Diceros bicornis minor: one gene and its partner. The protein of the gene in region 1 purifies or fractionates together with the protein of each later gene. This does not show direct contact. Links are inferred from orthologs where the notes say so. Each region holds a gene or a part of one and is shown on either strand. Other genes may lie near its edges. The genes, in order: EZH1 and AEBP2.

What was found.
Region 2: the proteins of EZH1 (region 1) and AEBP2 purify together in Homo sapiens (affinity purification with mass spectrometry; 3 studies listed by BioGRID and IntAct, with this or other methods). This does not show direct contact. The link is inferred for Diceros bicornis minor from reciprocal best matches to the Homo sapiens genes EZH1 and AEBP2.

Annotation. Positions count from the first base shown.
Region 1 is NC_080757.1:41,770,365-41,785,512, forward strand, and holds the start of EZH1 (histone-lysine N-methyltransferase EZH1), read right to left. Parts: upstream 6,804-15,148; 5' UTR 6,756-6,803; intron 6,143-6,755; exon of another isoform or gene 5,627-6,142; intron 5,495-5,626; exon of another isoform or gene 5,030-5,494; intron 1-5,029.
Region 2 is NC_080756.1:42,357,235-42,372,372, forward strand, and holds the start of AEBP2 (zinc finger protein AEBP2), read right to left. Parts: upstream 6,210-15,138; 5' UTR 6,048-6,209; coding exon 5,389-6,047; intron 1-5,388. UniProt on the Homo sapiens protein: Acts as an accessory subunit for the core Polycomb repressive complex 2 (PRC2), which mediates histone H3K27 (H3K27me3) trimethylation on chromatin leading to transcriptional repression of the affected target gene.

The DNA of each region.
Region 1 (15,148 bases):
TTTGAAAACATTACAAGGAGCTACAAAGAGCCAAAATTTGAAACAGAAACTAAAATTTTAGTCCTTGTTTTTTTAAATTTCTAAAAAAAATTTTCTTTTGGAGTTTAATATCATATTTCTTCAAAAGAAGCCTTTTTAAATTACCTGTTTTTCCCCATAAGAAATGACAGCAAGACAAGAAAACAGCAATATTTAACCCAATGTCACATATATGCCACAATCACATCATGATTATAATATGTCACGCACATGGACTTCAAGAGGACTATACCTGAATGTTTCAATTGAAGAATCAAACGGATTGGTGTAATGCTGTGTTAAATTTAGAGGATAAATAATGGAAGAGCAAAGAAGCAGACAGACAGTCACTGAGTTTACTGTTAACTCAATCAAGTGATTCAAGCTCTTAAAAACAGATTTCCCTGTGAGTTAAATATTATCTCTCTGGGGGAAGTGAATGAAACAACATCACCTAAGAATTTGAATCCCAGAGTACTAAGGTGGTCGGTTATAAAAAAATTAAGCAGACCTGAATTTCTTTCCTACAAATTGCACCATCTCTCTTCCTCCTACATCTTTTAAATAGTTGTCACTCCTCTACGGAATGGGGCCAAAAGAGGGACCTTTTTTTGAATGATGAAAATATTTAAGAACATACAACACAGTCACATGTAATATTAAGTAGTTGCTCATATAACTTCTGCACTGAACAAGCTTAATAATAGTCTGCTCCAGGAAATGAAAAAATGGTTCAAATCTAGGACAAAACTGCCTCCCTCAGAAACCTCAGTTTACCCTCATTGAGACCCAAATGACCCAAATGTCATAGATTACAATTCAGTGAGACATCATAATCTCCTAAAAAAAATGGTTTTGAACTGAAATCCCTCTCCCATTTCTTTCAGAACTCATTTCCCTTTTTGAAATAGTAAGATTAGGGCAGGTTGCTCCATCCATTTAAAACTGGAGATCAGGTAACGGAAAAGAACATAATCCAGAGCTGCCAGGGGAGGTGTGTGTACACTTCTTAGAGGAGATGGCCACAGGAAAATATCGATATTTTTCTTAAAGAAAGGAGTTGTAACTGAAATGTGATCTCCTATAGTCTGTCAAAAGAGATGACAGTAAACATACCACAACAGTCCAATAATTAATGGCACTATTTCTAATTTTACTCAAGTGCTGTTTTTGGCCACAGTATGCACATATACATAAAAATGCCATCGAGTTTTACTCAATCATACTGTAAAACAAGCCACATTTCCTCCTTTTACAATTAAAGTGATATTTAAGTCTCATGTGACCAGGAGCCAATATTTATTTCACTTGGCTTTTTAATGGGTCTTCTACGTCTCTAATAATTTATTCGGCAGTTGGTCAGCTCCCACAGACTGTATTAGAAAGATGAGACACACTGTTTGGAACAGATAGGTATGATTAAAATAAACACCTGAAACATAGCTGTAAGATGGGTTCTTATAGCATATGGACACTACTCAACAACTATCACTTCAAAGATTTAAAACAAACAGAAAACTCAGCTTTTGCTAGAAAAGATTTGGAGAAATGGGTTCATTTATCTTGGGCAAAAGGAGTGGCGCACAAAAAATACTTTATATTTCTATTAGATCTATTCTTTAGCTACTTACACATGCAAAACAGCATTTATATTCCAGTTAAATACTAAGCTAGTACTTAAGAGCTTTTCATTATGTTCACTTATATATTGAAAATAAACTCAAAAACATATACTGTTTTGGTCAAGAAATTTAAAAATAAATCTTTATATAAATAACTCCTACAACTCAATAATAAGATAAAGAACGCAATAAACAGTGGGCAAAAAACTTGAACAGATATTTCAACAAAAAAGATACAGAAATGGCAAATAAGCACACAAAAAGATGCTCAATATCATTAGCCATTAGGGAAACGCAAATTAAAACCACAATTATATACTATTATACACCCACTAGAATGGCTAAAAAAAAAGACTAATAATACCAGTTGTTGGTGAGGATATGGAGCAACTGGAATCTTCATACATTACTGCTGGGAATGCAAAATGGTACAGCCACTTCGGAAAACAGTTTGCCAGTTTTGTTTTGTTTTTTAAGAAAGTTAAATATATATTTACCATACAATCTGGCATATAATTTCTAATTATTTATCCAAGAGAAATGAAAATATTTGTCCCCAGAAAGACCTGTACATAAATATTCATAGCATCTTTATTCATAATAGCCAAAAAGTAGAAACAATACAAATAACTATGGATTGGCAAATGGATACAAAGTGCAGTATATACACAAAAAGGAATACTACTCAGCAATAAAAGGAATGAATAGTTCCTATATATGCACAACATAGCTCAAAAGCATTATGCTAAGTGAAAGAAATCAGACACAAAAAACTACATACTATATGATTACACTTACATAACATTCTACTAGAATGATTCTAGAAAGGGAAAATCTATAGTGACAGAAAGCAGGTCAGTGGTTGCCAGGGGCTGGGGTTGGGGAAAGAGATTAAATGGAAAGGAGCATAAAAGAACTTTTTTGAGATGATGAAAATGCTCTATACCTTGGTGTGGTGTTGGTTATACAACTACGTACTTTTTTTGTTTTTTCATAATTTTATTTATTTTTCCCCCAAAGCCCCAGTAGATAGTTGTACGTCATAGCTGCACATCCTTCTAGTTGCTGTACGTGGGACGCGGCCTCAGCATGGCTGGAGAAGCGGTGCATCGGTGCACACCCGGGATCCGAACCCGGGCCGCCAGTAGCGGAGCGCGCGCACTTAACCGCTAAGCCACAGGGCCGGCCCACAACCACATACTTTTATGAAAACTCACTGAAATATAGACATAAATGGTGAATTTATTGTATGTAAATTTTTACCTCAATAAAGCTGATTAAAGAAAAAATAAGTCTTTCTTGATAATAGATCAATCCAGTATTTTCTAGAGATTTTTACTATTAAAAATCTTTAGGCAATTCCACCTTAAAAAAAAAAACTCGAGTGACTTCAGAATAAATAATAATAAAATGATCAATACTAGTTCATTAACTGTAAAAAAATGTTACATGTATACTAATGTAAGATGTTAATAACAGGGGAAACTGGATGTGGGTTTATGGGAACTCCCTGTACTATATTTACAATTTGTTTGTTAATCTAAAACTGTTCTAAAAAAATAAAGTTTATTTTTAAAAAAGATTGATAATTGGAAATAAGAACTACCTTATTTATGTGTCAGATCTCTACAGAAAAAGAAAGCTATAAAAACTTGGAAATCTTTCCCCAGAAAATTGGATCTCAATTTGCTTCAAAGGCTAACACTAGAATGTAGTCTGTCACTAGTTGGAAATGGGAAAACATTATTGAAATGTTTGGGGATAAAACATTTAAGGAACAATATTCTTTTTTTTTTTTAAAGATCTTATTTATTTTCCCCCCAAAGCCCCAGTAGACAGCCGTATGTCATAGCTGCACATCCTTCCAGCTGCTGCATGTGGGACGCGGCCCCAGCATGGCCCGAGAAGCGGTGCGCGCCCGGGATCCGAACCCGGGCCTCCAGCAGCGGAGCGCGCGCACCCAACCGCCAAGCCACAGGGCCGGCCCTGGAACGATATTCTTAAACTTAGAGAGATTGAGGTCAGAATATAAAAGTTCCATACTATGAAGTTCTTTCATCCACACAAAGGCGGCCCTTTGCAGAAATGGCTTGTCTGAGGGGCAAGTTCAATGTCTTTACTACTTTCTCTTTTATAACAAATAATTTTATTAACCAGCAGGCTAGGTAAGCCTTTGGAGGCAGATGGTACTATAGATTTTTAAATTTTCCATCTCATTCTTTTCTTTTCAGTTCATGGTGGCGTTGAAACATGAACTGTAGGAGTGAACCTACCTCTGCAAAGAGCTCTAGTAATGCACAATTGAGTCATTCTGGTGATCACCAATTTCATCAACGCTCTCATGAAAATCAACTCTGTGGCTAGGTACACAGCCCGACAGATCCTTCAACTAGGATCTACTAAGCACATGTTTACTTTATACCCTCCCACTTCTCCAAGGTATTTACGTTTGTTATTAGTTTGAGCTTTGGGCACTATACACATGGAAAGAACCTTACTAACAGGAAGCTGTGACCCTGAATTCTTATTTAAAACAAAATTATAGCATTAATATTTTCTAGTGTTGCTTTATTAAGAGAATCAGGTCATTTGCACTGCAGACAATTAGACCCAAAGGAAAACGCTGGCTCTTAGAATGTACAATGCTGATTTAGAAGAGTTTCGGCAATAGGCTAGACCCTACCTTAGCTGGTTCTGTACTATGCTAGCACAAAGCTTAACATTTAGTGACTGCTCATTATCATTCAATAAAAACATGACTTTTTAGTTATTCCATTTTGAATCAAAGTATTAAGGCAAGTGAGTCAGAGAACATAACACATCAGATGTACTAACTCCAACTACTCATTAAGTAACTCTTGACTTTAAGGTTTGGAGCACTGAAGCCCCAACTGACCACCAGCTGATCGACTAAAGAGGTGGGAAGGAGCCCAACACAGTTTGGACAAATTTAAAAAAAAAAAAAAGCTGGGGACTTTCTGGAATGGGGACTTTCCCTAAGAGCAGTTTTTCCTTTTTAAACTCTCCCCCTCAATCCTAATCTAACTGGTATAATTCTCCTCACCTCTCCACCTGTTTTTTCTCTTTACTCTTTAGTTTAACTATCCTATGAAGAAATGTAATGTGTTTTTAGTGTTGCTGCCTCAACAAAGTTGAAACTTTTAAAACTTAGTATAAGAGAGGAAAAAGATATACTTAATGAAGTGAATTGTTACACGTTTCTTATAAGGCACAAATCAAGGGCAGGAACTGTTACCCACAGGACTAAGGAAGCCAGATTTCAGATCTCAAGAATTAAATAAACAGAATTAATATTTTAAATAGTTTTTAAAAGGCATGCTAATTCAAAGGCAAGTATAAGAAAAACAAGTCCGACTACATGTTCTCACCTTTTCCTTTCTCACAAAAGTATTCCCGGGAGTAACATTTCATTTTTAATCCTAGGCTCTTTATTCCAGTGCTGTTTCAAAGAGAATTAACACCATAATGAAGAGGTCATTTGCACCTCAAGGAGTTTTAAAGCTGTGCCTTAGCATCAAATTCCTTGATTGACCTACAAGTACTCTGCCAGTTAGCGGCAGAACTAGTATCTAGATCTCTTGACTCCTAGTCCCAGAGATCTTCTCACTATTTATTCCACAAACATGTATTGAGCACCTACTGTGTGCCTGGCACTACTTTAGGTGCTCAGGATACATGAGGGAATAAAACAGACAAACATCCCTGCTCTGGGAGAGTTTATTCACACTGTCTGTGATACACTCAGCACAAACCTTGACAATAACTATTATTACATTTTTATAGATGGTCCTTTTCCTCTATTATAAATGTGTAAAAAAAAAAAAAAAAGGACTTCTCTCCTAAGACACACTCTCTTCTATGTAAGTAAGAAATCTCTTTTTATCAATGCCCCACCATCCCAGCCCTGGGGATTCCAAGGCTTAAAATAGACAAGCTCTCTCAGAAACCTCTGATAGAGTTAGCACCTTCTCAGGCTGGAAACGTCATTCAATGCCGGTTTCCTAAACCTAAAAGCATCAGGTGGGGAGATTTTTCTCTTCCAAGACATCATGACAGCAAACGTCGAGGACGAGACCCACACTTGCAACGCCGTCCTCGCACACAGCCAGCTGTTCGTCTACCTCCGCTCTTTTCCCTCATCCTCACGAGCGCCTCTGGCCCCGGGCTCGATACCTAGGCTACTCCATTTACCATTCTGTATTTCACCCATCGAAAGCCCACTCTCGCTATTCCACTGGCGGCACTAAAATCCTTCCACATCCCTTCCCCTCCCCGGCCCTGAAACAATTTCAAAGGAGTCACTTTTTACCGAATTAAGTTTGTCTCACATTTCCTAACAGGCATGTCCCACATACAACACCTTGCCTTTGCTTTAAGGCGCTTTGCCTTCTATCATTTGATCCCCAGGAGAATTCTGGGGTGGGCAGGGACTGGCGCGAGACCAAATTTGGAGAGAAGCCTCTTACTCAAGGCCGGGACTGGGGTGAGGCGAGCGAGGCGCCCAGCGCGCAAAACCTAAGGAGGCACGCGGCACCGGCACGACCCCGGGAGTGAGCGCCTCCGAACATTTTGCGCCTTAGGAGCCTCACTCGCCTCGCCTCACCCTAGTCCCGGCCCGGTTTTCACTGCCACCCCTTCCCCAACACCCCCAAAGTCATCACAAGCTGAGCCACCGTTCTTGGCCCTGCCCGTGCACAGGCCCAGGGCCGTGGGAGTCCACCTCGCCAAGGGCCCCCGCAGGTGCCACCGCCCACCCGCTCCCTCTCTACGCTGGGGCTCCCGCCCACCCGGCCCACCCCGCCCTCCAACGGGATTCCCCGTCCCAGGCCCGCCCCTGCCGCTCCTCCTCCCGGACACGCCGCCCTCCCCGCCTCAGACGCGGTCCTCGTCGGGGGCTCTCTCGCCCCGTCGCCCCCTTTCCCCCAGCCCTAGAACGGGGAAGGGGCGCCCCGCTACCCCCGACCAGGCAGGCAGTGTGCCCCTTCGCTTCCTCCCAATTCTCGGACCCCTTCGCCTCTCCCTCCCGCAGGCCGCGGGTGGCGGGGTGCCCAGGCCCGGCCCCACCGCCCGGCCCGGGCTTGTTTACTCACTCACCCTCCATCCCGAGCCGCAGGGACCCGCCGCCAGCACGCCTGCGCGCCGCGGCCCCGCCCCCGCGCCGCGGCCCCGCCCCGCGCCTCCTCCCGGCGCCTGCGCTCTGCACTGCCCGCGCCCCGCGGGTCGGGCCACCTGGGCTTCCTTCTTCGCACGTCTGTCGTTTGGCGCCAGTACCCCGAACTCAGGGGTCAGAGGTGGTGGAGCGCGAGCCCTACGGTTTCCAAGGTGGCGCTGTCAGGGGAAAGGGAGGGCTCTTGGGAAACCTGGAGCAACTAATATCTTCTTGAAGACCTTATCCAACGGTTGCACCAGCCCTGCATGCTGGTGACGAGCCACGCCTCACTTCAGCATGTGAAACCAGCCTGCAACCCCTTCATACTGATCCCTCATACCTTCAGTACCCCCAAACACCTGTCTGTGGGCTCTAAGTAACCCTTCTTGCTTTATTTAAACCTGACTTTCCTACTTCTGTTAATAGTTTTCCCAGTTACTTAGATTCAAATTAATAGCCTTGAATCAAAGTAACTCCTCACAAAGTAACCTATAAGTTACAAAGAGGAAAGTAGTAACTTTACATGGGACAGAAATCTGGCAGACATCACCTTAACCAAGTGATCAAAGTTAACATTACTAGTGATGAGAGATACTCTTGTTAGGTACCTCTCAATATGATACAATGACAAAGGCACAAAATCACTTCTGTAGTATTCTTGAAAAAATGCATAAGCTGAATTAAATCAAGAGGAAACATCAGACAAATCCAAAATAAGGGGCAATCTACAAAATTACTGGCCAGTATCTTCAAAAACATCAAGGTCATGAAAGACAAAGGTTGAGGAATTTTCTGGATTGGAGAAGATTGAGGAGACATGACAACTGAATGGAATGTGTGATCCTGAATTGAACCCTGGTCCAGAAAAAGGATACCAGTGGAATAATTGATGAAACTAGAATAAGGTCTGTAGATTAGTTAATAGTATTTTATCAATCTTAATTCCTGGTTTTGGCAATTGTACTTCCTCAACATTTGAGGAATTTGGCTGAAGTGTATACAGGAACTCTCCACCATTTGCAATGCTTGTAAACCTGAATTTCAAAATATAAAGTTAAAAAATTAAAACTTACAATACAAAATAACATTACTTTGAATTTGTCCCCGAGTATAATTACAAAAGCCTATAATGTTCATTTGTTCAAATAATCTTCATAACAACTCTATGAAGTAGGTAGGGAGGCTTTTAGTTCTATACACAAGGCTATTCTGGCATAAGAGAGTTAAAAGACTTGCCTTACACAGATGAAAAATTGCTCTGTCATGTGTTAAACTCAGGTCTCTCAATTACAGATTTAGTGTTCTTTTCCTTATATCAGAGACTTTGACTTTGCTGTTTTTCTCTTGCCTGTGTCCACTTAATTGTCAAATCAAGACAAATATTCCTTCATACTTGACAATTTGCAACATGTTCCTTTCCATTCCCACTGCCTTGTAGATCAGTGGTTCTTAAACTTGCTTCACATTAAAATCACCTGGGGAGCTTTAATAACTGCTTATGCCTGCCTTCCACCTGCAGAGAGTTTGATTAATTGGTCTAGGATATGGCCTGGTCTTCAAAAGTTCTAAGAGCATCCCAGGTGATTCCACGTATAACCAAGTTTGAGAACTATTACACTACATAAATAATTGTTTTTTTTTAAATTTTATTTATTTATTTTTTCCCCCAAAGCCCCAGTTGATAGTTGTATGTGACAGCTGCACATCTTTCTAGTTGCTGTATGTGGGACAGAGCCTCAGCGTGGCCAGAGAAGCGGTGCGTTGGTGCGCGCCCAGGATCCAAACCCGGGCCACCAGCAGCGCGCATGCACTTAACCGCTAAACCATGGGGCCGGCCCTAAATAATTGTTGAAATAAAGAATAGAGGTTAAAAAGGCGGGGAGCAGGGGCAAAAAAGAATGTGGACTATCTAAGGAGAGATGTTCAGAAGATCTGAATGTCAGGACTGAGACTGGAGATTTGGGAACTATCAACATACTGATGGGAACTAACAACATGGGAGTGGACAGTATTGCCTTAGGAGAGTGTGCCCAGTGACAAAAGGAGAGATACAAAGAAATTTTGTGACAACAAAGAAAATATGGTTACAGAAATATTTGAGGTGGAAAGGAAGGAAGGTGAGGAGATTTATGTCAAAGCTCACGCTCCACTTCCTCACTAAGCCTTCCAGCTCTCCTGGATCTCCCCGTGCTTCAACTCTAGTACCACTTTACACTCACTACCGTGCCGTATTCCTCCTTCATATCCACCACAATACGTGGCATAGGACCAAGCCCAGGGTTTAGTAATCCTCGTTCACTGGAGGATTATAAAAACAACTTTTTACATCACAAATAAGCATGCGGTTCTTGGGGAAAATTTGCGTGCCAATTGGTTTCTCCTCATTGTGATGGGAGAGAGTTTTTCCTGAGACTAGGCTCTTTCTTAGCTGACCATGGTCCATGAGACATTATCAGCTAACCTTTGTTTGGCCAGCTCTTCCTCTACAACTTTTTCTTTTCCAGCCCTTCAGGTCTTTGTCCTATAAATTCGTAGAAAAACTGTTGGCAAGTGGTCAGCAACTGGACCTTTGAAAAACAGTACCATCAACTCTGCCCCACTCCTCCTAGCCCCACCCCCAGGCAGTTAATAGGAGAAAGGAATAACTGTGTCACTCTTGGCTTCCAGTTGCTCATCTTGTTCTTAAATTGGAGGCCTCTGGGGCTGAAAGAAACTGGACAAAGTGTGCTGAGTAGCCTAATAGAGCTAGTTCTTTTTCTGAGAGTTCTCAATTGCGGAAAAATAAAATTATGTGTTTAATTTTTGAAACTTGATGCCTGATTTGCCTTGGCAGCCATTCTCCCAGGCTTGGCCGAGAGTCCGGCAACACTAGTATACTGATTAATACCAGTTCAATTTGCTCCCTGGAGAAGAAGAGCATTATTTACTTGACCATTTTCTTAAATCCTTTTTTTTTTAACTTTATTTATTTTTCCCCCCAAAACCCCAGTAGATAGTTGTATGTCATAGTTGCACATCCTTCTAGTTGCTGTATGTGGGACTCAGCCTCAGCATGGCCAGAGAAGCAGTGCGTTGGTGCATGTCCGGGATCCGAACCCAGGCCGCCAGCAGCGGAGCACGCGCACTTAACCGCTAAGCCACAGGGCCAGCCCCTCTTAAATCTTTTTTAATTTGCATGTGTTTAAACATGATCTTATTGGCTTTAACATGCTGTATCTCTGACCACTGGCCCCAATGAAGCCTTAGGGAAGACTGTTCTGCTCTGTGCACTCACATCCTCATCACAAAGCAAGATTTTGTTCAACCCAGTGATTAGAAACGACATGTCATGTGTATGGTTCCTCTTGGGGTGGGCAAATTCTTTTTTGTGTGTGAGGAAGATCAGCCCTGAGCTAACATCCATGCCAATCCTCCTCTTTTTGCTGAGGAGGACTGGTCCTGAGCTAACATCTCTTGCCAATCCTCCTCTTTTTTTTCCCTTTTTCTCCCCAAAGCCCCAGTAGATAGTTGTATGTCGTAGTGCACATCCTGCTAGTTGCTGTATGTGGGACGCCACCTCAGCATGGCCAGACAAGCAGTGCGTCAGTGTATGCCTGGATCTGAACCCAGGGCCGCCAGTAGTGGAGCTCGTGCACTTAACTGCTATGCCACGGGGCCGGCCCCCTGGGGTGGGCAAGTTCTAAGTGTACTTTTGTCCCCTGCTGGTCTTCAGGTCACTGGTAGAAAGAGAAGGAGATGATGCTTCCCAGCATTCAAACAGAGCTTTCTGTACTATTCCTTCCAGCCTTCTTTGGATGATGATCCTTTGGCTCATTCTGCCTCTCCCTTGTGAAGCCCACAGGGATATCAAATAGAGTTTCTCCGAGGGACACAGAGGACTGAAGAAAGGTTGGGCCCGAGACAGTCCCTGACAGGGAAGTATAAACACAGCTGTGGAAATGGGAGCAAACCATCTCCCTCCCCCCAGTTCCCACCCAGAAGCAGGGAAAGGCCACCCTGCTGTGGAGAAACAAACAACAAAGCAAAGCAAAGCACAACCTAAAAGCCTGGATGAAGGTCACCAGAAACTGGGGCTGCTGCCCAGGCTTTGGTGGGGCCAGCTGAAGTGCCAGACCCCTCCCTGAACACTTAGTGGCAAAGGCAGCTCCAAAGCAAGTTGAGGTCTGGACATTACTGAACCTGGAAACATGGCTCGATTTTTGAAGCCTCTCCACTCTCGGACAACTTGTCCTCTGATCTCAAAAACCCAGCTTTCCGCCCCAGGTACTTAGCTCCTGACCCCTACTTGCTTAGGGATAATAATAATGCATTCAATTCAGCAAGTAAGAACAGGCCCACAATAAACCCTTGTCTGTAGTTGTTATGAATTTAAATTCTGATCCTCCAAGCCAAAATAATAGAAACGGCCTCCTTAGCTTTTGTTAATTACAAAATAAATATTTCCAGAAGGAAGGGACTTTCTCTTTGGGGGATTACTCTGGTGGGATTCATGCCTTGCTTTGCACATACTCTGAAAGCTCCAACCCCACAGCTAGGGTGGTGCTGCCCATTCTCACTCTCTCAGCACAGTTAATGCAGGGCCTTGATCCCACGGGACACGCCTTTGGCACAGCCCTGCCTGGGAAGTAGCCCTGATCTGGTGGACAGCTAATGAGCTGTGCTTCCTTTCTGGCCATCAGGATCCCAACTGTAAAACTGCAGAACTAGAAAAATGATAATAGCCTTCAAATACTAACCACTCAGTATGTGCCTGGCACTGTGCTCAGTGCTGTTATAAGTTTAAACTCTGGATCATCTCATTTTGTATGGTCAGTAATATTATTATCCTCACTTTATAGCTGAGGAAACTAAGACTTAAAGAGATTCTGGAACTTGCCCAAGGTCACCCAGCTGGTAAGGGGTGTGGCCAGGATTTGGGCCCAGTCATTCTGACCCCCAAACCCAGGCTCTGAACCACTCCGCTCTACTTCCTCCTTTCTTTGAGGTCTTCTATCTCTGACATCATGATCCTGGATTCTCTCCATGGCTTTCTGCTCTCACCAGCAGCGCCAGAAGGCGAAACATGTTTGGGACTCTACTCTGCAAGTTCAGAGGAAAATAGTTGCTGAAAGGCAAGGGGCTCCTTACTTCTTCTGTACTAGAGATGCCAATCAAAGCCAGACACTCAACAGACCCCCATATCAGCAGGGAACAGCCTATGTGGAAGACAAACAAATCCTAGCCAGACAGGAAAGGGGAGTTCCCCTTGGTCCTGTGACTTCCCCTTCTCTCTTCCCTGGCTTATCAGCAGGGTCCCATGAGGCTGATGCTATGGCCCTTTGAACTCCACTGTGGCTAGGATGGGATACCAGGCTATGGAGATCCTTTTGGAGCAAGAAAAGTACAATACATACATCTACAGATTCATATCCATAACATTGTACATAAAGGAACAAAAATAAATCACATTTATTTATATACTTAACATATCACCTTTAGAATTCACGTAATCACTAGACATTGCACTGGGTGTGAACCTAAATCATCTTGCATAATCCTTGTGAGATGCCTGGGAGGTAGGTATTGTTATCCCCATTTTACAGAGAAGGACATTGAGGCTCAGGGATATTGACAACATTGGCCATGGCCACATGGCTGGTAAGTAGGAGAGCTGGAACTCAAATCCAGGCTAGGATTGTCTGACTCCAAAGTCTGTATTCTTTTAAATAAAAAAAGTTTAGTGTAATGAAAAGAACAAAATTATAGAACTGGAAAGATCCCAGAATGTCTTGGAAATATAGTTGTCATAACTATATATGTTACACATTATGCTAGTAACTACTGTTTATCATATGCTTACTAGCTCCAAGCATTGGGCCAAATGCTTTACATGCATTATCTCCACTGCTCAGTGAGATACACACTAGTAACACCATTTTTGCAGATAAGGAAACAAGCTCAGAGGAATTAAGTAATTTGCATAACATCACATACAGCAATGGAGCTGGGATTCAAACTCAAGTCCGCTTGACTTCACGGTGTGTGCTCTTAACCACTAAAGCAATAGAAATAATAATAATAATATGCACTGACTATGGGCCAACTACTGCTCTAAGAGCTTTATATCTTATAATCATAGATATCATTATTATCCCCAATTTACAGATGAGGAAAATATTGCCTTTTGTAGTATTACTTAAACTCACATTACAGACACCACACACGTTAAACACACATGCACTACTAGTGTCATTTTGCTTAACATATGTTGGATCCTTGTTATGATCTAGAAAATTATTTATTTCATAATGTCATGGGTTTTTCCATTTTTCATCCAATGTACTAAGGTCCTAGGAGAAAGGATGTGAAAAGATGCTGTCTGAAGGTGAAGCAAGCGTTGTCAGAAGAGGGTTTGTACTGAGTGGGTAAGGCCCACTGTGCCACAAGGAGCCCTGTCTGGTTGCCCTTCTGGCCGGCCTTCCTCATCCCTTCCTATTTGGTTCTGTCTATCAGGTTGGCTAGCAGGTTGACTTCCATCAGTATTGTGGAGCAGAGGTTAAGTGTTCAGGCTTCAGCATCAAGAACACCTGGGTATCTGCCAATATTAGTTGCATGACCTTGGACAAGTCACTTAACCTTTCTGAGCCTCAGATTCCTCTTCTGTAAAGTGAGTTGCTATGGTACCTTATTTAATAGAGTTGTGAGTTTTAAATGAAACAATTTGTATGGAGCACTGAGGATACTGCCTGGCATCCTCAGGGCATCCCCATGTTATATAACATCCAGCATCGTGGGGTGTTGGGAGGAGGTAGAAAGTTCTTGGGGATGGTTTCATAGGACAGTCCTGAGGAATAGAGAAAGGGTGAAAGCAATCCTGGCATCTGGCGTTGGTTCCTGACAGCAACCATGAGTCAGCCCCAGGTGCTGAGGGACCAGCAGTGTTCTCAGTACTGCTGGGTGTGTGCTGTGGTCACTTGGCCACAGTCCTCTTCAGTCACGCTGTCTGAACGTCGTTCTTATAAATCTGGCCTGGGTCCTTTTCAGAAAAACAGCCTCCACCACGTGATGTCATGGTCCAGCCTGGGTCAGGGAAGGAGGTGGGAGGAGGTTGTGTGCATGTAGTTGGGTGAAGCAGGATCTTCTTATTTCTGGAGGGGTCAATCTGGTCCTGCAAGAAACACTCTATCCTTCTCTCCAAATTTCAAGACCCAGCAAGGAATCAATATCCTGATGTGAAGTGAGAGGGAGGTGATAAATCATAATGGTTAAGACATGAAGCTTCGGGCCGGCCCCGTGGCTTAGCGGTTAAGTGTGCGCTCCAATACTGGTGGCCCGGGTTCGGATCCCGGGCGCGCACCGACGCACTGCTTCTCCGGCCATGCTGAGGCCGCGTTCCACATACAGCAACTAGAAGGATGTGCAACTATGACATACAACTATCTACTGGGGCTTTAGGGGGGGGAAAAAAAGGAGGAGGATTGGCAATAGATGTTAGCTCAGAGCCGGTCTTCCTCAGCAAAAAGAGCAGGATTAGCATGGATGTTAGCTCAGGGCTGATCTTCCTCACACACACAAAAAAATAAATAAATAAATAAATAAAAAAAATAAGACATGAAGCTTAGGGGTTGGCCGAGGGGTTGGCCGCGTGGCGTAGCGGTTAAGTGTGCACGCTCCGCTACTGGCGGCCTGAGTTCAGATCCCGGGCACGCACCGATGCACTGCTTGTCAGGCCATTCTGTGGCGGCGTCCCACATAAAGTGGAGGAAGATGGGCATGGATGTTAGCTCAGGGCCAGTCTTCCTCAGCAAAAAGAGGAGGATGAATGTTAGCTTGGGGCTGATCTTCTGCACAAAAAAAAAAAAAAAGAAGAAGAAGAAGACATGAAGCTTACTATCAAGCAGTCCTGGGTTCAAATTCTCACTCCCAATTACTACCTCTGGGACCTTAGGCAAATCACTCCTATTTCCCCATTTCACCCATGGACAAGACAATTCTGATGTTATGGTAAGGTTTTAAGAAATGCATGAAAAGCACTCCACATATGTGTCGGGGAACACACTATGCAGCACATAACAACTTTTCAATAAGTGGTAGCTACTACTAAGTTCATAGCAATTGAAGAGGAATCTGGCTTGACCATTTTCTCTGCCTTTTGCTAACTTGAGAGCCAAAGTTTTCTCCAATGACCATTCTTCCCTCTGAGAGGTGGTCGTGCTCCTCATACCAAGTGTGCCATCATTCTGGAGATGAGGAGGCTAGGGAGAGATGAAGGAGTTGTGTCCTTACCCCTTAGTCTTCCCTCCCTTAGCCAGCTGGTTTCCTGGTTGCAGCTCTTCTGATTCTCCCTGCTGCCTCCCTC
Region 2 (15,138 bases), on another chromosome or scaffold:
AAAAAAGGAGGAGGATTGGCAATAGATGTTAGCTCAGAGCCAGTCTTCCTCAGCAAAAAGAGGAGGATTAGCACAGATGTTAGCTCAGAGCTGATCTCCCTCACAAAAAATAAAAATAAAAAATAAATATCTGGGAAGGCACCATCACAGTTCTTTCTAATCACTAAACAGGGCACAATGTTAACCATCAGTAAATGCTCAAAAAAAGACTTTTAAAAAATCCAAACATTCATCTGATTTCCTATGCATGCCCAAAACTATCCATTTAGTTCTAAGGTCAATATAATTATTTCCACAAATGCAAACTATTAGTCATAAAAATGAACTCAACATGTGGTTAGGATCACTACAAATCCATTCCATTACTAAAAAACATACCCCAAAGCTTTTTACCAATAGATCGTTAGCTTCATTTACATACTAAAAACTATTAAAAATAAAAGGTATTACGAGGCTTTTTAGGTCAATCACAGAATAGGTATATATGATAAAGAAAACTGATTAAAAGGTAAATTTTGTAATAAATATTTTGGTCTAGCATATCCTTTTGCAAGTTTCTGCAGCACTCATTTACAGATACTTGCCACATTATTTAACAGGCGGTACAGTACTTTTTGGTATTTCAGACCTTATATTGCTTCATAATAATGGTAACAGATCATTACTAGCCATTATCAGTTCAATTGTGCAGTCTGTCTCCCCTACCCATGAGGTCAAGGGGTTTATTTTATTCACTGATGTATACACAGCACCTCGAATAGTACCCAGCACACAATGGGAGCTCTATGTACATCTGTAGAATAAATACCTATCACATAGTAATTGCGGCATTTGATGGGTTTTGAAAGGCTGTCTCAATCAACAAAAATTTGAAGCAATTATTGTGTATCAGAGTATGATAAAAAGAATAATAGGAAAAACTTATGATAAAAAGAATAATAGGAAAAACTTATCTGCTCTATGAAGAAGAAAATGTGAGCACATACATTAAGGTCATAAAAGGGCACTGTGGCTTCTTCCTTGCTCTCTCTCTCAGATCACTTGCTCTGGGGGAAACTAACTGCTATGTCATGAGGAACACAAAAAGCTCTATGGAGAACTGATTTGGGGAGTAACTGAGGCCTCCTGCCAAGAGCTACATAAGTGAGCCATCTTGGAACTGGATTTCCAGCCTCAGTCAAGCTTTCAGATGACTGCAAGCTGGCCAACATTTTCACTGCAACCTCATGAAACTCGGAGCCAGAACCACCCAACTAAACCTCTGCATTCTTGACTCTCAGAAACCACATGTAATAACAAATGTTTGTTGTTTTAAGTTGCTAAATTTGTGGGAAATCTGTTACACAACAATAAATAACACAAATAGGCAAGGTGTGAAATCTCTAATGTTTACATTAGAGTCAATGAACCTACACCCTGGAATTAAAAGCCTAACAATAATATGCAAGATGGATGAAGTGGAAAGCATTTTGTCTTCCTATCTCCTAAAATCCCAGTAAAGAGTCCTGCACACAGTAAATACCTGTGTTTGCAAACTAGCTTACACACAGAATTCCCTAAAAGACCCAACAAAGTAATCTTAATGTTTCTTAAAAGTAAAATGAGCCCTTAGAATCTCTCCATAAGTGCAACCCAGAAATCTGTAGTTTATTGTTGTTTGCTTAGTTTTCAGCACAGAGCCATACCTTCCTTAACTGAGGGTTACAATGTTATTAATGAAAACTGAGACCTTTTAGAGCTCTTTTCCCTACACTTAATGAAAATAAAAGGGCAGCTAAAAGAGGGAGTCTGGAGAGACTATGGACAGCTGCTTCAGAGCCAAAAGCGGTAGTCAGTGCAAGGGAGCTCCACCACCAAATATAACCAAAATATTACTTCACATAGAGGTATTTTATTGCCTCATCCATAGAGATCCTTAATAAATCTTGACGATAACCTCAACATGCAGCCTTTTAGTATTAATCTGATTTAAAAGTTTAGCCTCTATACTAGAAAAAGATCTTCCCAATCATACTACTGGGAAATTAGGCACTATAAGTCTGTTTTCCCAGTGTCAAAGCAATCTTAATTATATCTCAAAGTTTGCAACCCGTGAGGTTGGGAGTCCAAATTTTGACCCACAAAATGGTAACGGCCTGTGGCCTTTGCTGACCATTAACTTTCATACTATATGCCCTTGCCCTATCACCACATCCTTACACATGCACTTTTCACTTGTCATCTGGACTTACCCAGAAAGGCTCATAAAAATGGCTGAAAGTGGTCTTGGCATTTTCAAAATAAGTCATGGTTTATATTCCAGTTGGCGAGATATATATTAAAGAAACAACTGCAAAATAGAGGCTATTATCAATTCACCTATATACAGATAAGAAGCTAAGAATACTTTCATGTATAATCTGATTCAACAGCTAGAACTAATTTGTAAACTAAAAAAATTTTAGAGGCATTTTAAATTCTAAAATTCTATTTAAAATTTATTTAGCCTCTAAAACTAACCTAAAAGATATATTTAAAAAATTTTCTTAATTAAAAAGTACTTAAGCTTAAGTTCAAAGTAACAGAAAAACTAGTTTTTAGTGGTCTTGCACAGCTAAATATTCCCCCCAAAGAAAATTCCATTATCTTTATAACCAAAGTAAAAGTAAATTAAATATCAACTTTAAGGTTTTCTAAATTTACCAAAATAAAAACACTAATACACTTATGCTGGTTTTGAATAAGTAACTTTCTCCTGGGGAAAATAATCAATGTTTTTTGTACCAAGCGTCATTTAATCATTTTATAAATTAGTCACCTTTCACCATACAACACTTCCAATACATGTTTGTAAAGTGACACTTTGGATCACAAGCTTTAATATCTAAGTATTTACATTTGGTTCTTTTTTAAAAAAGGACTTAGAGTTAAAAATATTTAAGAGAGTTCAACAAAATCTAAAGTATGTTAGATAAACTCAAAAGTGGAATCTAATTTCAAAATGGTAAAAAAACTGAATTCCAATAGAAAGAGTAAATTCTAATGATAATAAAATCATTGTAATAGGAATGCCTCAAGTTTCTTTAAAAGCACTTTAAAACCACCATATCCTTACATCAGTTACAAAAATAAAGACTTCCTACCATAAAATCAATCTATAAAATCCACATAGATTGGTATAATCTGCAGGACAGTTTATAAGAATTATGGATGTTTTCCAAATTTAAAATACAAAAAAAATTCAAAGGCAACAAGAGGACATTTCAGAATAAAGATTATCAAGACCACAATCAGTTTCACTGGTAATGCAACGCTTTTTCTTACAAATCATAAATCTATTACCCCGAAATGGCAAAATGATTGCAATATTTTGTTGTCTCTAATGACAGTATTAAGAAAAGCAAGTATGTTTAACCTTAATTGGACTTGTTGCACCAATATCTTACTCCCTACTCTGAAATATGATGTAAAAGTCAGACATTCAAGGGAATATCTAATGAAGCCAAAACTCCACGTCCTGAATTATTACTTGACCAATAATTCACTGTCTGCTAAAGGGATGTAGTGGACAAATATTAACTCAAAAACAGAACAAAACAAAACTCTGACACATACAACCCATTATTTAAGATGAATTATTCTAACTCTTGTGAAGTGGAAATAGCACGAGACTTGAGAACCTTTGTTCAGATCCAGCTCCACCACTTCTACTCTATACTTACTGTTTTAAGACACTCCACTGGCTTCTTCATCTGCTAAATGGAAGTCAAAATAATACCTATCTTGCACCAGAGTTGTGAGAATGAAATACTGAGACATTTAAATTGTGCAGTGCTAGGCAAGTGTGTCTGTGTGTGTGTGTGTGTGTGTGTGAGTGTACTAGATAAATGAAGAACTGAAGAAGAAATCATACAAACTAACATCAACTTGCAAATATGTGCTGGTAGCAGTGAAGGAGCATATAATGATAAATGATAAACAGCACATGCTTCACTGTGCAGTTCACACCAATTTTTAGTTTTCTTGAAGACATTCTCCTTCCTGCCTACGACTCTACAGCTCAGTACGATTTTTCTAAGGTTTGTAGAGTCTAGTTTATCCCATACAAGATGTTTGCTTAACTGGATATCAAAGTAAATATCAAACAGAACCTAACCCTCTATTTTCAAAATATTTAGGGCTTATACTCCTCATAACATTTAGTATAAACCAAAGTGCTCATTTTCATCAGTTAACAATCGGAATTCCTAGAACTTTAGAACACTTAAACTCAAGTCCAAGTCAATATCGATTGTTAAAAATTCTACTGCTCATCAAAACATTAGGAGACAGTCAAAATAAATGCTAATATACTTTAGAAGCAGTATAAAATGCATGATGTGGTTCTCTGTTTAAAAAAGTACATTAAAAACCAATTAGTTAAAATATGAAGCTTTCCAAAGAGATCAAAAGTAATGATAGTAACAACTGAACTATTACAATAAATTTTTTTAATGTCCCGAAAAAATGAAGCGCAATTTTGTCAGTCTTCACGTTATATCTAACAAGCTTTAGAAAAAAGCTAATTCCTTCAGAGACCTCCCCAATACAAGACTTTAAATATCATCATCTAAAATCATGACTCTCACGTTGAAGCATTACTCTACAAAGATTTTAAACCGCATATTAATATGCTGTACCTTCTAAACTGTATTTTGTTACGATTCCAACTCTCTGATTCCTCAAAGTTATTTTAAAGGACGCCAATTCATTCTTCTTCTCTACAACGATTTATACATGTTTTAAACTTTCTCCCAGATTTGATCACAACACAAAAAGAAGTTATTACAATCACGTTGGAGACCACACTAGTGACTACACGAGGAATTTGGGAAGCACTGATTAAACATAACAAAAACAGTCTTTTCTTTTTTAAGTAAAGAAAAGTGAATACTTGGGGTCTCCTTCCTGAACAAGGAAGTTCTGTTAAATCCAGGCGAGACCAGCCATGTTGGAAAACACTTGTCAATTACAGTTGTGACAAGTGTTCGCGAACACCGTGGGAGGAAGCTAACCCTGTGCACCGATGTGTGTACATCGAGGCCCTCTGCACCCCGCCCGAGGACCTGACCCTACTTTGGGGACTGTTTCCGAGTTAGAGCTGTCCTCAGGTCCGCAAGGAGTGCGGAGCCGAGGGAAAAGAGGGCGGGGTAAGGAGAGTTGGGGGGGGGAACAGCTTGAGAGTTGGAAGCCGCTATCCGTTGCGAGAGGGGCGCGGCGGCCGGGAGAGATTTCCGAGTTGAGAGCCTGGGGGAGGGGCTGAGGATGAGGGGAGCAAGGGGATCTCGGCGAAAAGTCCCCCTGGCCCACGCTGAGGGGCCCAGGAGTGCCAGAGGAGGGAAGGAAAGGGACACGCTTCAGCGCACTGACCTGTCCTCCGAGTCCATGCGGCTCAGGGGTTCCCCATCCGACGATATCTCCAAGCTGCCTCGCCGGCCCCCCGAGGTCGCGCTGCTTCCGCCTCCCCCGGTCCCGTAGCCCTCGTCGCCACCGCTGGAGACGACGCTGCTGCTACTGCTGCCGCCCCCGCCGCCGCCCTGGCTGCCCCGAGGTCCCTTGGGCTCCTCCAGGCCCTCCTTGCCGTCCCCATCCCCGCTGCTGCTGCTGGCGGCGCCGGGGCTCAGCGAGCGCGTCTCGTCGCTGCTGCTCCCGCCGCTGCTGCCCACCAGGCTCTCGGCGCTGCTCTCCTCCTCGCCCCCGCCGCTGCTGCTGCTCTCGTCCTCCTCCTCTTCGTCCTCCTCCTCGTCCTCGTCCTCCCCGGCCTGGCTGGCGCTCTCGGGGCTCGGCTCCGACATCGTCTCCGCCTCGCCGCCCCCCACTCCGCCGCCGCCGCCCCCACCGCCGCCGCCGTTCAACAGCAGCGCCGCCACCGCCTCGGCCTCCGCCTCCTCTTCCTCCTCCTCCTCTTCCTCCTCCTCCTCGGGGGGTTCCGCCCGGCCCCGCGCCGCCGGCCCGGGGCTGCCAGGGGGCAGAGGGCTCAGGCGGGAGAGCTCCTCCAGGTCGGCCATGTCGGTGAGAGCGGCGGCCATGGCGGCGCCTGCTCCTCCTCCTCCTCCTCCCGGCCGCCGCCGCCTCCCTCTCTCGACTCTCGCTCCTTCGCCCCCTCCCAAACGCCCAAAACTCCGCCGACGCCGCTGCAGAGCAGGAGGAGGGCCCGCGAGCTGCGTCAGCCTGCACACGCGCTACGGAGCCCGCGCGGGGACAGGCGCGCGACTGCGCGCACTCACGCGGAGACGGCTGCGCGCCTGCGCGGCGGCACGAGGTGGCGCCTCCCTCGGGCCGCGGGCTCCGCGCCCTGGCCCCCGCCCGGGTCCTCGCCCGGCCCCCGCCCAGACCGGCGAGTGCTCAGAGTTTCCTCGGGGTCTTCCCACGCCTTCCCCAGCCTAGCAGCGGGCGAGACACGCAGAACGAAAACCTGAGTGCTAGCCGGGGATTTTAACCCTCTGAGTTGTCACGATAAAGTCATTCATTCAGGGGGTGTTTGGGGAGTGTCCCCTGTGTACAGGCGCTGAGCCAGGAATCGAAGAAGTCCCTGGGCTTCTGGGAGCTTACAATCTACGCAGAGAGGAGATTAAAATGAATAAAAATAAATAATACAATGCCAGGTCCTAAATCCATAGGAGCAACACAGAGCCACAGGTTTTCATCTAACCTGCGTTTGAATACTCCAAAAAATGGTTAAATCACAGTCTCAGAGCAAACATCTCTTACGTTCAAGGTCTTCAAGCTTTTTAGCTCAGGAGCCCTCTAAAACGATATTGTACGTCCTTATCCAGTTTAAAGTGACATCTGCATTTTCTTCCAGCTTGTTATAAATAGTTTATAAGTGGTACATATTTTTAAATGTAACTGATGAACTCTAAATACCATTGAGATTTACTACCCACCAATATCCACTTTTTAAAATATAATCTTTTGTACACTTGGGCAATTTCCATCCTTCCCTCATCTTCTGGAACTCATATTTACATTCCTCATCCCCTCCAGAATTTATCCCAATAATATATTCTTTTTTTTTTTAAAGATTTTTTTTTATTTATTTATTTTTCCCCCAAAGCCCCAGTAGATAGTTGTATGTCGTAGTTGCACATCCATTCCAGTTGCTGTATGTGGAACACGGCCTCAGCATGGCCGGAGAAGCGGTGTGTCGGTGCCCGCCCGGATCCGAACCCCGGCCGCCAGCAGCGGAGCGCACGCACTTAACCGCTAAGCCACTGGGCCGGCCCCCAATAATATATTCTATATTTGAACTGCTTCCTTGATGATCTTATATTTCCTTGTAATAAAAATGTGTTTATAAATTGAAATTTAAGAAGTTTTTAAATTTCCTGTGATCATAAAACTCTGTCTTATTATTTCAACTGATCAGAACAAATATATTTCCAATATTTATAAATGAATATTAATCACAAAAGTAAAATTTTGTTGGAAGTGCATCTTTCAGAGAAAGAATTGGATGAATTTTTTTTCAACTAGTTTATTTTATCAGTGGATGTGTATTACTAGAATGAGGAGTTCAGCATCCATCCATTCTATTCCAAGTTTTCAATTTCATGGATATAAACATTGAGAAAACTTGTTCTCATAATAAGCAGATGAGAATGAATGGAGTTTTGTTATAGTAATGCCACTCAATTCTTTGAACTCCTTCCAAATTATATGCCAAAAAATCTCATAAAGATCTAACAAAGAAAAAAGTACTGACAGTCTATCAGCTGACAACTCTGATTAGGTTCTCTTTCAACTTTGTTGAAAGCAAGTTACTGACAACCACCTGACATGCAAAAGGATGTGTTACCCATTCTCATTCACCAGTCAATTGTTCCTTTTTTGGTGTAGTGGAGGTTTTTTTGAATCCCCAGGGTATTGCACCTGAGTAAGATTTGGGATGGGGAAGAATTATGCCTTTCTTTTGTAAAGTAGGGGAGGGGCGATTGGGACAAGGGAGGCTGGAAAGGAGCCCACATTACACTCTGACCCCAGGGCACATTTTCAGGCAGGTCAGTTTTGGGGATGCCTACTAAGGGAAGTGAGGATCAAAGAACTGATTGCCTTGAAACAGAGTCTCTGCTCATACACATGAGCCGTGGAAAATCTTCATATACCTTGAGTACCCCAGTATTATTTCCGCTGTCTTAGGCCTTGGGACAGCTGTTATATGTTCCTTATGTTGCCTTAAGGGAAAGCAAAAATAAAAATAATATGTAATAGTGTGGGGCATTATGGTTTATAGATACCTTCACGCACACATACAATGCAAAATACTAACCTCAAAGATTTTAACCTCAAAGCCACCCTTTGAGATAGACAAGGAGTGTATTAGCATCCTGTATAATAAATTAAGACCTATTAGAGTTTAACTGAAAAATGCATATTAAGTGTATGTGCCAGGCACTGTATTAATCCCTGAAGATTAGGATTAATGTTTGACTGAGTTTATCAAGGAAAACTTCATGAAGAATGTGGGATTTGAAAAGATGTGTATAGTACAATGTATAACTACATCTAAATTTAATTAATTTCAGCCAGATCTTGAAGAGTGTCTAAAATAGAATTCTGCGTAAGGGGGCATTCTAGGACTGAGAACCAATAACGTTCAAAAGCATAAAATTTATTCATGACAGTGTTAATTAACCATGAGAAAGCTCAAAAAGAGCTAAAGGTTAGATTGCAGAAAATCTTGAATAAAAAGTTTGACTTGGAGGGCCGGCCCTGTGGCTTAGCGGTTAAGTGCGCGCACTGCACTGCTGGCGGCCCGGGTTTGGATCCCGGGTGCGCACCGACACACCTCTTCTCTGGCCATGCTGAGGCCGCGTCCCACATACAGCAACTAGAAGGATGTGCAACTATGACATACAACTATCTACTGGGGCTTTGGGGGGAAAAAATAAATAAATAAATAAAATTATTAAAAAAAGTTTGACTTGGAAAGACAACCGGTATATACTGAGATATTTTTTAAAAGGTATGATATGATGGGGCCGGCCCTGTGGCGCAAGCGGTTAAGTGCGTGTGCTCCGCTGCGGCAGCCCAGGGTTCACTGGCCCGGATCCCGGGCGCGCACCGACACACCGATTGGCAAGCCATGCTGTGGTGGCGTCCCATATAAAATGGAGGAAGATGGGCACGGATGTTAGCTCAGGGCCAGTCTTCTTCAGCAAAAACAGGAGGATTGGCAGATGTTAGCTCAGGGCCAATCTTCCTCACAAAAAAAAAAGAGAGAAAAGAAAAAAAAAGGTATGATATGATTAAAGTTATGTTGTAAGGGTATCTAATGTATAGAAGATAGAGTGAAAAATGAATGGAGATTAGACACATGGAAATGGCAAGTATCAAAGCCAAAAATGAATGCTCTAGCTGCGGTATTTAGACTTGAAGACTAAAATGTGCTATCTTGGAATTGACTTTTTGGAGAAAATAGAGCACTTCCCATACTGGAGAGTTGTGTTTTTTTTTAGCTGCAAATTTTCTGAAAATTTGAAAGAATTGAATAATAAACACCTGTACACCTGCCTAGATTCGTCAGTTAATAACATTTTGCCACATTTGTGGATGCTGTGTTCTTCTCTCTCTCTTTCTTTTCCTCCCCCTCTCTCCTCCTCCCTCTCCCTCTCCCATTAACCCTACCTCTACCCCCTCTCCCTTTGTCTCTCTCCCTCTTGGCTTGGTTGTGGACATCGTTACTCTGCACGCATCTCCTGGGAGCAAGGCCTCTCACCCACACAACCACAGTATCACAGTGTCATTATCCCACTCACTGAAGTGTGTGACTAGAGACAGGACTTCCGGGTGACGGAGTTCCTTCAGGAGACATCAGGTGAGAAGTTGGATGAAACTGCAAGAAGCAGAGTCTGCAGACCAGTGCCCATGCACAAACTGTTTCTTCCTGGTCTGCATCTAGACAAGTACTGAAATTAGCTTCTGGAAACTTTTATAACAACTTGACAGAGTAATTTTATGCCTGCTGAATCTGATAAAAAATGGGGGCTTATATTTTTGAGGCCATCCGTTTATTTTATTATTCTGGTAATTCACTTTTGCTGTATTTTGCAAGAGTATCAGTCCACTGGAAATTTTTTAAAAATGTACATTGGTCCTTCCTAGATCGAGAGTCACCGTTCTGTAGTTCCCTCCCTCCTGGTGGGAGAGCGTGTGATTCTATGTGTAATTATAAGTTACCCAATAACACACCATTGCATAAGAGTGTTTGATTAGGAATAGTATTCAAATTCATTGACCACGGTACTAATGGGGGTCACATTAGCAATGATAACTTGAATTTCACTGGCTCTTCTACCTGCCAGGCCTACTAACAGGAAACCTCCAGCTTTCTGGGAGCCTCTGGGATAAGGGTCTCTCCTGTGCTCACACATTCCTCTCTCACTGCCCTCCTCCCCTGCTCTACTCTTCCAGGCCCTGCAGGCTCCTACCTGCAAAACAGCCAAAACCATGGTGTAGCCTGGAGAAATGGAGCTCACTCTGTTGACCTCTTTTAGGGAAACCCCGAAGCAGACTGCTTGTGCCCAATATCATATATGGTCATGAAACACCTCTTTATGTTTTTACTCAGAGCTCTGTTTCTCTTAGGGACCCAGACATGCTTTCATGGGCCTAGATTGGCGACAGCTCTGAGTAACAGCTACCCCAAGCTGTATTTATTACTCCCCATCCAATGACTAAGTCTTTCTTATAGGGCTTCTCTGTCTAATTCTCTCTTTCATTAAAATGAGCCTGTTCTAGGAAGCAGTCTCAGCCCCCGTGTCAGCAGGTTTCTTTCAGTCCTGCCTCACCAGTTTGCTCAACGTGCCCAGACATGCTTGAACCCCAGCAACAGACTCAGCTTAAATTCAAGCTGAGATTGCTGCTACACCACCCGTAAGATACTTCTGAAAATGTCCCTAAAATATGCAACTCTCTCACGTTTTGCACCTTTATTTCAGGTTCCTCATTCTGCGTGTTGATAGTGCCCTAGTGAGCAAGATCAATGGCAGTGTATGACCTCATTCTCTGATTGACTTGGAGTCTAAAAAAAGTAGGCTGGAAAGAACTAGAAATCTGATGAAAGCTTCCCCAATCTGTAGATTGTAATCCAATGAAAACCCAACAAAATAATGATGACAGTTTTTGTGTTAAATTTTCTGGCGGTATAGCCATTTTGAGACATAACTGCTTTGGCTGGCAACTTTCCACAATAAGGAGATCATTTACCCATGTCTGGTATTTTGAATAGTTTCTCATTTTCCTATGTCTATGAAAGGGTAGGTAAAATGTGAAAGGTGAATAACAAAAACACCACATTTTTTTGTCTTTTCATATATTTTATATCTAACTTGCTAACCAAATAACTTTATTCAACATTGAAAACTCTCTCAATTATTACAATTGAATTCTTTCTTTTTTTTTTTTTTGGAGGAAGATTGGTCCTGCACTAACATCTGTTGCCAATCCTCCTCTTTTCTTTTTTTTTTTTGCCCCAAAGCCCCAGCACATAGTTGTGTATGATAGTTGTAGAGTTGCAGCTCGTCCACGTGGGATGCCACCTCAGCATGGCCCCATGAGTGGTGCGTAGGTCTATGCCCAGGATCTGAACCTGCAAGCCCTCGGCTGCCGAAGCAGAACGCAGAACTCGCGAACTTAACTGCCTTGCCACCGGGCCGGCCCTAAAATTGAATTTGATGGATTAGTTATTGTAGCATACAAGTTACAATACCAGTTAGTACTTTATCCATCAAATCTCTAAGAAGGCAGGAAAGAATCTAAACATAATATTTAATGGGTGAAATATAAAAGTAGTGTATTAGCAGTTTGGATAAATTACCTTGGCTTCAAGCCAAAAAAACCCGACCCACTCCCTTCCTTTATTGAAGTATATATGGCATCTATTTGACTACTAACCTTATTCATACCCTCTTTTTTCCTCCTCTTCTCTTTGTCCCTTATTTCATTACTTGCTTTTATATCTACCTTGTAGTCCTCTATACATCTTGGTAAATTACCTCAAATTATTTTTTCAAGTGAGTTTTGTTGGGTCGTTTAGTTTTTGTTTTTGCAGAACCTGCTAAGCCTCCTCCCCCCTCACTCCCACCTTATGTATGTGCTGAGCACATGACCTCCCAGCAACCCTTAGAGCTAGCTTTGGCCATGTGGCTAAGTTCTGACCAATGAACTGTGAGCAGAAGGGATCACATCCTCCTTAGGAAGCTGCTTGCCCTCCCTTCTCTCACTCTTCCTCTGCCCTGTCTGTGGGCTGAGACACAGACATGATGGTGGGAGTGAGCCAGCCTCAACCATGCATAGCAGGACTACACCCTAGGATGACAGAGCCACAGAGAGAAGAAGCCTGGGTCTCCGGATTACCTCATTTTGCCATGCCACTCACCCCTACAGACTAACAACTCAGACCTTTTGTGCGTGAGAAAGAAATCTTTTATCTAGTTTCTCTCTTCTAAACCAGCCAAGTCAATATCGTAATTAATGCAGGTAAAATAAACAAACAAACAAACACGGTTTCCTATTTGCCAGAAATCTGAGGCCCTCAGGTCCTTCAATTTCCTGCCCCTCCATCTATAAACTATTTATATCCGCACTCATTTTTTTTCCCTAGGCAAGCTAAGCTTTCCACTATGGCAGACTCTTAGGTGTCCTAAAAAAGGGAGGGAAAGACCATATATGTACTATTTTTTTCCTTCTCTTCTTGGGCACATGGCTGCCCAGCTGGAGACCACATTTCCCAACCTCTTTTATGCTCCCTTACACTCAGTTAATAAACCTAAATATATCTAGTCAATCCAAGTGTTAGATTCTTTTCGGTAGAGAATAGTAGCTACCGAAGAAATGTAAACATAACCAGTCCTGCAAGCTTGGTGAAATTCTAGCTTTCTTTGTCCTTTTAGGTGCTCTGGTGATATGCTGAATGAAAGATGAACTCAAGACACACAAAAACATTAAAAAAAAATTTTTTTTTAATTTTTATTTATTTATTTTCCCCCCAAAGCCTCAGTAGACAGTTGTATGCCACAGCTGCACATCCTTCTAGTTGCTGTATGTGGGATGCAGCCTCAGCATGGCCGGAGAAGCGGTGCGTAGGTGCGCGCCCAGGATCCGAACCCGGGCCGCCGGCAGCGGAGCGCGCGCACTTAACGGCTAAGCCACAGGGCCGGCCCACACAAAAACATTTTAGAGACAGGATTCTGTGCCCTCTAGTCACCATGATGGAATCAGAAATCCCAATGGCTCAACATAGGACAGCTTAGGAATCAGCAGGCATCCTTAATGTATCAGATAACAAAACTTGCTATTCATGCAAACATAAGAAAAGTCTCCTAACTATTGTAGACAATCCTCATACCTTGAGTAACTTTAATTTCCCAGTTTCTAACATGCATCATACTATTTGACAAATCACTAGCTTGCTCAATACAAAACCCATTTTTACATTCAGTATGGCAATCAGCAAGGCTTTACGGAGATCTTTACAGTAGATTATTCTAGCAGAAACCCCTGGAGTATGTCCCTTTCTGATCTACAGCTAGCTGAAGACTGCTGAACTGGGCTTTTTTTTTTCTTTAGCATGTTCATTGACCCTGTATAGAATCAAAGCTTACATTGTTGGCACATACATCATATCCTATTAACTATACTGAAATACAGTATTTTAAACTGAATCACAGAAATTTTAATACTTAGTGATAGTTCCTGACTAAATTCTCACCAAGAGAATGTGAGCAGAGGTAATGTGTACAACTTCTACCTAATTTGTTCTTGACTTTCTCTGCCACGCGCTGGAACAGGCTGTGCCATTGACCCAACTTCAACATGTAGTGCTGGTGGCGCAACAATATGGAAAAAATATGAGCCCCTGAGAGACTTTGTGGTACAGAGCTGCATGCCAGTCTAAACTGGCCAGGCTGTTACATGGCAGAGAAATAAACTTCTGTCTTGTTTAAGCTACTAAGTTTTAGAGTCCTTTCTTTTTTAATGACAACTTAACCTTTACTCAAATTAACAAAACTTTACTTTACATCTTGACCCATCAGCTTCTATTTCTTTTTCTGTGTCTTCAATCCCACTGTCTATATTAGCTCCTTTTTTTTTTTTTTTTTGCTGAGGAAGATTAGCCCTGAGCTAACATCTGTGCCTCTTCCCCTACTTTATATGTGGGTCGCCACCACAGTGTGGCTGATGATTGGTATGGGTCTGCACCCAGGATCTGCCACAAATGCAGGCCGCTAAAGTGGAACGTGCCAAACTTAGCCACTGCACCACAGGGCCAGCCCCTATACTGGCTCCTTCTTTTCGATTCATGAGCATGATCAAGTCTTTCCATCCTTATATGGTAAGTATTGATTTCATTTGCTTCCACACTTCTAAAAATGTGAACCGTACTTGCTTTTTCCACTTTCTCACCTCCCATACACTGTCTCTCTACTGCAAAATCATATCCAGCCCCACTACAGTTTTTAAAACTACTCTCAGGAGGGGGCCAGCCTAGTGGGTGGTGGTTACTTCGTTCACTCTGCTTCAGCGGCCCGGGGTTCACAGGTTTGGATCCTGGGCACGGACCTACGCACTGCTCATCAAGCCATGCTGTGGTGGTGTCCCATATACAAAATAGAGGAAGATGGGCACAGGTGTTAGCTCAGGGCCAATCTTCCTCACCAAAAAAAAAAAAAACAAAAACTACTCAGTAAAATTATTCATTGCCAAATCTAGAGGATACTCTCAGTTCTGATCTTAAAAACTTGCTATCACATTGCAATGAAAATAAGTCTCAGACTAAATTCTGCATTGCGTTCTTTGTCACATTTTCTCCTCTCCTCTGAACTCCTTGCCTTTCCCCTCTTGTTTCTGTGATGCCACAGTCATCTAGATTGCCGATATCTTTCACGGTTTCTTCTTGACCTCTCTGTTTTTTAAATGTTGGCTCCAAAGTCCACATCCTTAGCCGGTTGTCTTCTTGTTCTACAAGGTCTTCCTGGTAAATAACATCCATTCTGCTGATTCTGATCTCTGACGAGAGCCTCTCAGATTCATCCTCCACACTGCCAGAGAGCACTGATGCCTCCTTGAGGCAGAGGACTCTTAATTTACACTGGCACCGATATACAAAATTTTGTGTGT